Astyanax mexicanus: one gene and its partners. The protein of the gene in region 2 interacts with the protein of the main gene of each other region in a biochemical or structural test. Links are inferred from orthologs where the notes say so. Each region holds a gene or a part of one and is shown on either strand. Other genes may lie near its edges.

Region 1 (3,754 bases), on a different chromosome or scaffold from region 2:
GCCCAAAACAGACTATATTCCTATCACTAAACAAGAATAAAAGTACTGAAAAACAGGAAATAAGGTAATTAAACTACAAACAAAAGTACATTTTAGTAATTTATTAAATAAATGTAATGCTGTTCACAGTTATTTATGTGAATGTTGATTAAATAATAATATAGTATGCCTGCTTTACATTTCATTGCCTAATTGTAACATCTACTCTTCCCAGTACCTGCTTATAAACAGATAAGATTAACATTGAGTTAAATTGTGGTTACCAGTATGTCATGTGGCAAATTAATTCCCCATCCCTGCTCTAGAAGGTATGTATATAAGGTTGGATCCTGTAAACTATTGGATGAGCAGCTATAAGAGAATGCCATTGGCCATTGGGCAACTAACTCATCCTATCAATGTTTGGCAAAAAAAAAAGACAAAGTGCCCTATTGACTGCCCTTCTTGTGAGGAAAAAGTTGTCTGCCAGACGACCCCTTCTTTCTATAAATGATTATGATGATTTGCTCTATAGATCAAGACATTTGGTTAATTTGATAATGTGTCTACTGGGGTGCTCCTCTGCCCCAGTAGAAAGGGGGGCTGACATGTAAATTAAAATTTCTCCAGTTTTACACCAGATATTTGCTAATCCAACCATCTGAATATCCAATGGCATCGCTAGTTAGCCACTGTTCTCTGTTTAAACCAAAGTGAGAGAGATAGGCTTCGGATGCCACTGGTCGGTATGTGTATCAGATAATGTTACCACAGCTAATGTGGAAGGAATGTTTAATACAAATATGTAATAATGTGCCCCTAAAGTTATTTCTATCTTTTTATCTGCTGAAAAAACATTAAAAATTAAAGTAATACACCTCCCCTGTACATAATAGTTTTGTGTCCTTTTTATTTTGATCTAACCCGCTACCCCCTCCCATTAAATCACTTACAATTTATTTACAGTCCACAGTTGTTTTTAAAGGGGGTCGGTGAGGCTGGATTCATTCAGCATCCTTAAATCTCTGATTCAAGAACATCCTCAGAACATTAAAATAATGCAAACAAGTTCATATTCATAAAGTTTTAAGAAATCAATATTTGGTAGAATAACCCTGTTTTTAATCACAGTTTTCATGCATCTTGGCATGTTCTTCTCCACCATTCTTACACACTGCTTTTGGGTAACTTTATGCCTTTACTCCTGGTGCACAAATTCAAGCAGTTCAGCTTGCTTTGATGGCTTGTGATCATCAATCCTCTTGATTATATTACAGAGGTTTTCGATTTGGTAAAATCAAAGAAACTCATCATTTTTAAGTGGTCTCTTATTTTTGTCCAGAGCTGTATGTACTGCTTTAAAGACCATGGGTCTATTTTTTCATCTTGCTGAGGAACTTGTTTTCTCCCTAGATCAGAAATAGAAAGATGACTACAGAGTGTTTTCATGAGCACTGCTTGAGTGTTTACTGAAGTGAAGGGGAATCTACAGTAGCCTGCACATTGTTCCAGTGTGACACGCACTTTCCAGTGTTGGAGGACTCGCTGGACATTAAAACTTCACTTTTCGGTTTCGTTTTTAGGAGTTTACCGGCAGATGGCGTTATGATTTTCCTCCCTTACATGAGAAGGAAGTAGCTGAACGAAATAACACGGTAATGAAAATTTGAGACTAACTAAAGCGGAGGTGAGAACGATAGTAGAGTGTAAGTTTTCTGTGTGTATGTGGTTTAACTTTGACTTTATTTATACAGCGTTCCGTGAAATCAGCTGCTTGGCCGGTTAGCGTCAAATCGTTTATTAGAGTGGAAATCGCCTACAGGGTATGTTATGTTTTAGGGTGGGAAAGAAGCTGGGGACGATGGGGCTCTCTCTCTCCGCCCCGCTGCGCTGTAACGTATAATAAATACCTATATAAGCTATTAAAGTAATAACCTAGCCCGAAGAACTGCGAGGAGAAGCTGGTCAAAGTGACAACTCTAGCTTTATCTAGGTTAAATTGCTGTCAGGGTGTTTGGGGCCATTATAGCTAACCAGCTAATAGTGAGCCTCAACCATGGCGGATAGCGTTGGAGAGGGGTCCAACGGCGCTGTTGGAGCGAGTCAGGGAGCTGGAGCCCAGTTGTCAGCGAGTTTGGGTCACTCTTTGCCGGGGCACTCGACCAGCGGAGCTAACCCGGCCTCCCCGCCTCCTGCCGCGGCTGCAGAGACTGGCCTAGCCGCGGTGCCTCCACCTGCTATAGCACACAACATCACCTCGGTCTTGGAGAGCGGACCCGGCGTCGCCGTGCTCAGCCACGCCGTGAGCTCCAGCATCTCGGCCCCTGCGGCCGTGCCTCCCTCGCTCCCACCCAGCATCGGCCTGGGGGTCACCGGGGCTCCGCCGAGCTTAGCCGGAGCCGGCCTTCTGTCCCAGATTCACGCCACGTCCTGGGACCCCACTCTAAGCACAGACTGGGACAACGAGAAGGCTTCGCAGCAGTGCATTCTCCGGATAAAAAGGTAAGTTAACTAGCTAGCTAACTAGGTTAACTACTAACATATCAACAGCATGATAAGCTGGCTAGCTTGCTTACTAGCTAATTATTCAATAATAATAATCGTTTTAAAATTGATAGCCATTTAACTTAATCACTGTATTCTTTTTGACTTGACTAAATAATAACTAAAGCTTATTCTCTTTAATAGTATTTATGTATAACAAAACAAAAAAGTTTAAAAGACAAAACTTATGGTCAAGAACATTTTTAAAGAACTGTATTAAATTAACTAACGCTATATTAATCATACCTGCTATGTTTTTTGTTCTTTACTTTGTAACGTTATCAGTTATTAATGTCTATGTATTTTATTTATTTGAGTTTAATGTAACTTATCTAGATAATCTAATAGGTTTCCCTAAGATAATTTGTTAACAAATTAATTTAGTTAACCTTAATCTTGTCGCCTGTCTGAGGTAACGTAGATTAAACTTTTTCTCACTGGCTACTTTTGCTAGCTTAATAGCTAAGCTAACTAGCCAGCTAGCTAAATAGCTTGCTAGCGAGCTAACGCTAACTTAGCTAACAAGCTAGGTTAGCTACCTAGTTCAGTAGGAAGTTGCGTAGCTTTGACTAGGTGAACTAGCTAACGTAGCTACCTGGCCTTAGCCAAACATATGTTCACAGTTTGCTATCTTAGTAGCAACATTAGCTAACCTAACTAGCTAGCTAGCTGTAAAATGTTATACTGCTTTCATATTTAGCTAGTGCTGATTTAGGCTTTATTAGGCTATTATGGTGCACAATTCTGGTAAAATTTCATAACCCTTAACAAAAGTGGGCCAAATCACGTAAACTGGCAAACCCACAATTATTCACCAATACTTTTTACCAGTGTTTGACTAAGTATACAAACCATGTACACAATGGTTGAGTTACAATGAGATATAAAATAAGCAAATTGAGCAGCATGTTCATGATTTTTTTTATTTACTGTAATAAAGAAGGCACATGACGGTAATATTTTAGGGTTAAAATCCTGATGTAACATAAATGATACAGCAACAATTTTATTTAATATTTCTATAAATCGTGTCAAAACATACAACGGAATCCAAAACAAAATATTTGATCTACCATTAAAAAGTACTGCTATTTGCTTGCCTCTGAAATTAGTTTTAATTATGTCACCATGCAGCAGTTGGTGGGAATAAATAATATAAATGTTTATATTATTATTATTATTATTATTTTTATTATTATTATTATTATTATTTATTATATTATTATATTAT
Region 2 (3,754 bases):
CAAACTAGTTTTGTTACATAAAGTTACTTTTTTCCATTTTCCCTGAGATGAGAAGAGAGATGTGAAAAAATAAAAAAATAAAAAATGGAAAACAATTTTTTTCTGCACTACACTAGATGTACAAATAATGGGTTTTTACATACAATATTCTAGTTTTGCATTTAAGCTCAAATAGTCAAAAAATGTTTACTAATGAATGTTAAAGGTCAGTGTAATGTTTTGTTTTCTGAGTGTTTAAGGCTAAATGCAAAAATAGAAAATTGAATGTAAAAACTCATTATTTGTTTTTTTTTTTTAAAGTAGTGCAGTGTACAAAAAATGTATCCATTTTTCCAATTTTTTTTCGTCTCTGCCCCTCACAATCGGAATTTCAGAAAAGAAAAAATCTGTTTTTTTTTTTCATTTTTGCATCTTGCAAGTTAGATTATACCATCAGATTTGTGTTACAAGGTACAAAAATAGACAAATCAGAAAATCGAGATACTCTTATATTTTTAAAAAAATTCTGTTAGCGAAAGGCTGAAATGAAAAACTAGAAGAAAAAAAATGTATGAAAATCCATTTTTTTCTTGACTTTACAGAATAGGAAAAAAGTTATATAATCAATTTTCTATTTTCGAATTTAGCTTGATACAGTCAGAAAACTAAACTGCTATAGGTTACACTGACCGTTAACGCTTTTAACACCATTACCTCTAGACAACAGACTAAACTCAGAAATAGTGAAATAGTGCATCATTCGTATCAGTACTGCGTTTCCCGCCATGCTCAGCGCCAAATGCAAACTACGGGCGAGCTTATTTCAGGACACGCGGGGGTGTTTCCAGTAGTTTCCAGTGCGTGCAGAAATATTTGAGACCTTTCCCGTGCTGTATTAAAGATGAATCATGTGCAGTGCTGTGTTAATGTTGATTGACTGAAGCTGTTTGAGTAAATAAGGTCAGAGTGTTGTGAATTAAGGGGTGAGATGTGGGCTCGTGCAGCGTGTGTTCACCTCGTGCAGTCTGCAGTTCCTGACTCAAACTCTGCACATGTTGCTGCTCCGCCGCTCGTGAACAACTGAAGAATAGAAGTGAGCACTTCTCGCGCTCAGAGCTGGTAACGGTAGCGGTAACGGTGCGGTTGGTGGTCAGTGGTCAGGAGTCAGTCCAGCTTCTTCTCAGCTTGGAAAGTCGAGGAGCTCGAGCCACTTCGATACAGTGTGATATTAACGGTTAGACTAGTGGGTTTTACCGTTTTTTTGTTGCCTGAGAAGCGTTTCTGTGTTCAGTACGGTGGAAAGGCCCCGGTAATATCGGATGTGGTGAGTTCTGCATACTTATGTGCCTGGCTAATGCTAACCAGCTAGGTTAGCTAGCAAGCTAAATAGCAAACGCGTACACAATAATAGATTTGGGCATCTTGCTTAGCAAGCTAGCTAGGTTAGCTAAGCTAGCTAGATTAGCTAGAAATTTAACTAGGTTAACTAGCTAACCACATCGGTAGCTAACTAACTTAACTAGTAGCTAGCTAGTTAGGCTAAGAATGTGCCTCAAAGACTTGTCTGTATAAGCTAGCTAGCAAAATTAAAATTGTAGTAACAGTTAAGTTAGTTAGCTAGCTAACCTTATTTGCATGGTTTTAAACGTAACCACATGATGGTGGAAAATTCTAGCTTGATATGAGATGACTTGTGATATAACGTTATATTTGTAACGTAAATAAATTAGAATTTAGATGCATTTATATTATAATTTAGCTAACCATAAGTGGTTTAAACAGTCAAAGTTGTCAGTCCTTTTTGTCTTATCCCTTGTGGTGATTAGCTAGTTATCTAACCTACATAGTTAACTAGTTAGCTTAGCTAGCTGGCTAGCTAAATAGCTGTTGTAAACAAATAAATACATTTTTGAAATTGAAAGACTGGCTCAGCAAGACATGCTTTTTTGTGAGGAATGCTTCAATACTGAATCTACAAATAGCTATTTGCAAGCTAGCTAGGCTAGCTAACCTAACAAGAAACTACAAAGACATGGAAAGACATGCTTTGCTTTCCTTGCCTTCCCCTTGTTGCGCTCTAGCATCGTTTGGCAGTTATTGGCCAACCTAGGTTAGCTCTCTTGGCTACAATTTCTCTACCAGTCCACAATGATTATTAACATAGCTAGCTGGTTAGCTAAAGCTAGCTATCAGTGCTCTTTTGTGGTCTGTGGGATCTACAGTAGTACAGGGTGATACTAATCATAAGCATGTAGGTTAAAGAAATTGCATAAACTTAGGAGTCAGAATGGGAGTCAGCAGCAGTTGCACGGTTGACTGTATTGATATAGATAAGCAATCAGCCATGCTGCACATTATTACTATCATTGGCGCCACTGGTAGCTAACCAGTGCTGGTGGTCAGATATATTTTGAAGATAGCAGTCTAGCTTCCATAGCTAGTTAGCCAGATAGCTAAATAACTCGCCGAATTACATATAGTAACCTAGTTCTAAAGCCTGCTAGCTCTAAAGCCTGCTAGGTTTGCTAGCTAGCTCACCGCTGTTTATTTTGTCGTCCTTAAAAGTGGCCGCGCTGGCACTTTAACAACTAATAATCTACGCTGAGCGGATCAATATTCGCCCATTGAAGCGCAGATGAACGGGGTACCTGTGCAGAGCAGTGGAGTGTGATGTGTGAAAGAGTTGCACATATCGTTTACTCGGGGGGGGAGAAAGCCGCTTACAGCCAGAATTGAAGCCCCTGTCTTGGCCTCAATTCCCCACACAAACAAGAATAAACGGCCCTCTTGGGCCTTTGTCACAAGGTATCAACCCCTCCTTCCAACGTTTATTCGTTTTATATGTATTTTTTTGTATTTGTTTCATGAAGTGCGAACCCAACAATGCTTTGTTGCATCCTTGCATCCTGTCATCATGCATTCTTGCATTCTTGCATTCTTGCAAGTCTCTGTGAAACAGATAAACATGAACCCATCATCTCCATTCTTAAGGCCAGAATTGGTTTAGTGGGGTAAAAAGGCCCCCCCAGAAGTGAGCTGTGGAGCAGTGGATCTGTATTCTTTGGAATGATGGTGCTCAATCAGTACTTTTGAGATGAAATGGGGTTTTGATATTACTATCTGTAAATGCAATCAGATCCAGAGAACAGTGTTTTCAAAATCTAGAAGAAAGCCACTCCTGGTCAGTAGAGACATTTTCTCCAAAAAAGCAGTATAAATACCTTTTTAATATAATTAAATAAGCAATGAATTACCAACATTTTGTCCATATAGTGTAGTATTTGGCAAATATTCATTGTCCAGAGCTCCTGGATTCTGCATCATTTTATGTATTATTGAAATCTATTCATTACATTTGAGTTAGATTAAAATAAGCTTGGTCAGTGTTATTCAAGGGGAACAAAATTGTTTAAGTAGTAAGGTAGACGTTTACAACAATGGAAAAGCTTACATCAGCATGGGTCATATTAGGCCAATTCAGTTTCCTATAATGCCATTCTTTTATATAGCACAAGCTGGGTTCAGGTAGCTGTGAGTGCTGGGTTTAGGCTTGCTGGAAACTACTTCAGACTGTTGGCTAAGTGATTGTCGGTACATAATTCTGAAAGGACTCTTTGGGACATCAAATAATTTGCTTACAAATGGAATTACTTGAGAGAATTCTGAGATAATAGACTGATTTCATGTAGTTAATAATCTTGGCTCTGTCTCCTATTAGTGTCTTTGTGTCTCTTGTAGGTTTCTTGTCTTTACAACCCCTGTCATTCTTCAATAG
Region 3 (3,754 bases), on a different chromosome or scaffold from region 2:
AGGGTTTTCTGCAGTTCAGGCCTCCAGTAACAATGAAGCACCCCCTAGAAAGGCCAGGCATAGAGCCCAGTCACATGTGCAGTCCAGCCATCATCCCGTCTAGGTTGTGCTTAGTCCCCTTCGTGTCTAATCGTTCATAAACGAGGCATTAAAGTGTGCGAAAGCTAAGCGGCGAACGTGTGAGCCATCGTTCGCCCCATGCCAGGAGATGACATTTCTGCACCGTCCCGGCCGACAGGAAGAGACAAGTGCAGTCGCCGCAGGTTACAGAAGGAGGCGTGTGAACTCTCAGTCGGCGCCTCTACCCACCCCAACCCCTCCTTCTTCGCGATGTTGTCCCTGCAAAGACTATGATCCAGTCTGACAACAAAGTCCTTGCTTATTTTTGCAACCTCCAGCCTCTCTTTTTCTCTCTTTCCTCTCTTCTACAACAACTGACAGGAAGCAAAAGTGACAGGAAAAGCCTCCGCCCACAGATGTGCTCCTGGGCCCAGCAGAGGGCAGGGTGCTTGGACGCTCACTGACCTCAGGGGAGGTGTGAGAGTGGGAGGGATTACAGAGCAACACATAAAATCATCTTACATAACATGGTGCCCTTCAGACATCGTAGGCCAGGGGCAGTTAAGGGGCCGTCCAGAGAAGCTGTGAGACAGAGGTTACATAAAAATACGTAGGCGTGCCAAGACACTGTAGCCCTCCGGAGCAGGAACAGGTCATCCATGACCGTCAATGTCAATGTAACAATGTCCTGCATTCTTCGGAACAATGGTCTCATGACAGCTGAATGAAGCATCAATCCAACAGGTTAACTGGGCCCTGAATGTTTCTTATAAATCTAATGCAAAATCAAGTCTGTACACTATAATGTCCAAAAACATCTAGTCATATATAGGATATTCAACAACTTTAGCTGCATAACATAACATAACATAGCAGCTGAAATGAGACTTAAAGGTCACCATGACCAATGTCCTGCATTATATCTGTGATGGAGGTCCATTGAAAAGCATTGGGATAATTTGAAGATGCATTTTAATTAAGAGACAATATTCCAACATCAGGCAGAATATAGACTATCTATCCCTGCAGCAAAGTGCTGACAAACTGCATCTTACTAGCCTTGAGCACAGAAAATATAATACATCATGGTTTCAAAAGGTTCCACAGCTTACAGAGCTAATTCAATCCTTAAAAATCAGTTCTTATTGAAGGATTACACAAGAAAATGGACTACTTTCTTGCAATAATAAGATTTACAAATGTGCAACTGACATGTGTTGACCAACTGTAACACTCGTGCAATCTCTGGAACGTTATTTTTAAACAAAAAATGTTTAATTGTATTTAGAGGGTCAATGAAGGAGAATTTGCATGTGTCACTTAGATAAGAGCTTACAATAAAGTGATATGCAAATAAAGCCATGCAAAGTATTGGACTAGCTCAATTTGTGCACATGCAGCACACAGAAGGCTTGTCGCTTGGTCTACACTGCTCTGTCTCCAAGCTCTACACGTGGCTTAATCCAGGTCTTAGAAACAGGCCATAAGGGATTCCTAAGGTTTCACAGAAGCTATAGCTAACGTTAAGCTTTATACATTCCCATTCATTAAACTTGTGTAACTTCCAAAATGCTAATATATGGAACTGCATGGAGGGACTAAATGTGACAAAGACAATGAAAATCTAAACAATATCTGACAAATAAAGCTAGGTAGGACATTTTGGCCTGTATCACTACTTGACTTATTTATTTAGCTACTTTATTAGAAAAGTATGGACAATGTTTGTTTGCTAAGTTAGCAAAACGTTAACTAGTTAGCTTACATTTGCTAACAACAACAAATAAGTTACACGCTAGCTAGGTTGGTTAGTTAGTAAGCTAAGCTAGTTAGCTAGCTAAGGTTAATATAGCAAACACACAGGGAACAAAGCAGCCAACAGCTTTGTTGAAAAATCTCCATTTTACAAGTTACAAGTCTATAAATCAAAATTCACGTTTGTCACTACCTTTAACAGCTGAAGTTAATAGCTAACGTTAATTGTTTATCTCCTCTTGAGACGTTGACAGCTGTCACAGCGGCCAGCATAGCTGTTGGGTTAGCAAGCTAACTAGCTAGCTAACCCAACAGTTTAACCCGTATAGCCATCTTAACTTTATCGTTAACGGTTAAAGCTAATACAAATCTATTTAAAAAAAGGTTAACAGTTCATTTTTACATCCCAATGCGCTGACAACCGAGAATGTGAAAAGTTTGCTTGGGTTAGCTAGCGGTTAGCTACCTTAAACAAATGCAGCAGTAGCTATAGGTAGCTTAGCTAGCTTTCTATGCTAAGCCGGCTAAAAACACACAGCTGGCCTCCTTTCACACTCCTTTCAGCACTTGAATAGCTAACTATCTGTGGATGTTAGTTACCTGGGCTCTTGAGGTTGTATTTGTTCTCCATCTTTCCCCAGATGTCAGAGTGTTTCCTGCTATTCCTTCTTTTTCTTCTTCTGCTTGTTGTTGTTATTCACAGGTCCAGCGTTAGCCGGCTAAAACTTGCTGCTAAGCAACGCAGCCGGTGTGGATCCGGGTTTGTTGTGGGGCTGTTTTAGCCTGTGAGCTCCGTAAACCCGTTCACTCCGGCAGCTGTCAGCGCCCGAACCAGAGCCAGTGACGTGGCGAAGTGTTTCTGCTCGTGTGTTTTCAGTGGGCAGACTGAAACCACACAGAGCACCAAAAAGTCCCTGAAAAACGAAACAAACTCAGCCTGATTGAACCACAAAACTTTATGTGAAACCGCGTTCCGAGGTTTATTCCCTACAGAAAAGACTCTTCTCACATAAATAATCCACAGCTGGCTTCAACCATAGCTAAAAACTAACTATAAACGTTCTACAGTGCTGTATAAACCAATTTAATATATAATATCATAATGTAATATATTCACTTCCTGTGGTACTCATATACAGTGGTGCTTCATAGTTTCTGAACCTTTCTGAGTTATATTATAGTCTTTTTCTGCATATATACCTCAGAGGAAAAAGGTAAATAAACAGAACCAAAGCAAACAAACGACACAAATATATTATATTTATTAATTCATTTATTGGGAAAATACCAAACCCCTGTATAAACCACTTCTTTGTACATTTCCTGACACTCAATCCTATTCTGTCCTCTGTGCTACTGTAACATTGTAAATTGCCTGGCTCTGGCATTAATAAAAGATTACTTTATCTTGCCTTGCCTTTATCTTATCTTATCCTATATAATACACTGCCCTCTCAAAAAAAAGTCTTCATCTGGATTATAGGAAGTAAATTATGTGGTGTTGATGCTGCAGTTGGTCAGGTCTGTGCTGAAAGAATGAGGTCAGCTGACTACCTGAATATACTGAATATAGACCAGGTTATTCCATCAATGGATTTTTTCTTCCCTGATGACACAGGGATATTCCAAGATGAAAATGCCAGGATTGAAGGGGCTGGAATTGTGAGGATCAGGAAACATGAGTACATAATTTTCACACATGGATTGTTCACCACAGAGTCCAGACCTTAACCCCATTGAGAATTTTTGGGATGTGCTGGAAAAGACTTTGTGCAGTGCTTCAGACTCTACCATCATCAAGATCTTGGTAGAAGCTTAGAAGCTTACTGAAACAATGCCACAAGGAATGTGTGCTGTAATCAAAGCTAAAGGCGGTCCAACAAAATATTAGAAATAAGTATAAGTGCAAGGTGTGATGATAGTGTAACATAAGACTAAC

What was found.
Region 1: of the proteins of uba1 (region 2) and ube2z, one has a biochemical effect on the other in vitro, tested with the Homo sapiens proteins (3 studies listed by BioGRID). The link is inferred for Astyanax mexicanus from reciprocal best matches to the Homo sapiens genes UBA1 and UBE2Z.
Region 3: the proteins of uba1 (region 2) and ube2j1 form a complex in vitro, tested with the Homo sapiens proteins (2 studies listed by BioGRID, with this or other methods). The link is inferred for Astyanax mexicanus from reciprocal best matches to the Homo sapiens genes UBA1 and UBE2J1.

What each region holds. Positions count from the first base shown.
Region 1 is NC_064426.1:33,233,211-33,236,964, reverse strand, and holds the start of ube2z (ubiquitin-conjugating enzyme E2 Z), read left to right. Parts: upstream 1-1,503; 5' UTR 1,504-2,035; coding exon 2,036-2,481; intron 2,482-3,754. UniProt on the Homo sapiens protein: Catalyzes the covalent attachment of ubiquitin to other proteins. Specific substrate for UBA6, not charged with ubiquitin by UBE1. May be involved in apoptosis regulation.
Region 2 is NC_064420.1:35,310,741-35,314,494, forward strand, and holds the start of uba1 (ubiquitin-like modifier-activating enzyme 1), read left to right. Parts: upstream 1-1,061; 5' UTR 1,062-1,303; intron 1,304-3,754. UniProt on the Homo sapiens protein: Catalyzes the first step in ubiquitin conjugation to mark cellular proteins for degradation through the ubiquitin-proteasome system.
Region 3 is NC_064408.1:49,531,408-49,535,161, reverse strand, and holds the start of ube2j1 (ubiquitin-conjugating enzyme E2 J1), read right to left. Parts: upstream 2,772-3,754; 5' UTR 2,447-2,771; coding exon 2,416-2,446; intron 1-2,415. UniProt on the Homo sapiens protein: Catalyzes the covalent attachment of ubiquitin to other proteins. Functions in the selective degradation of misfolded membrane proteins from the endoplasmic reticulum (ERAD) and is essential for cells to recover from ER stress.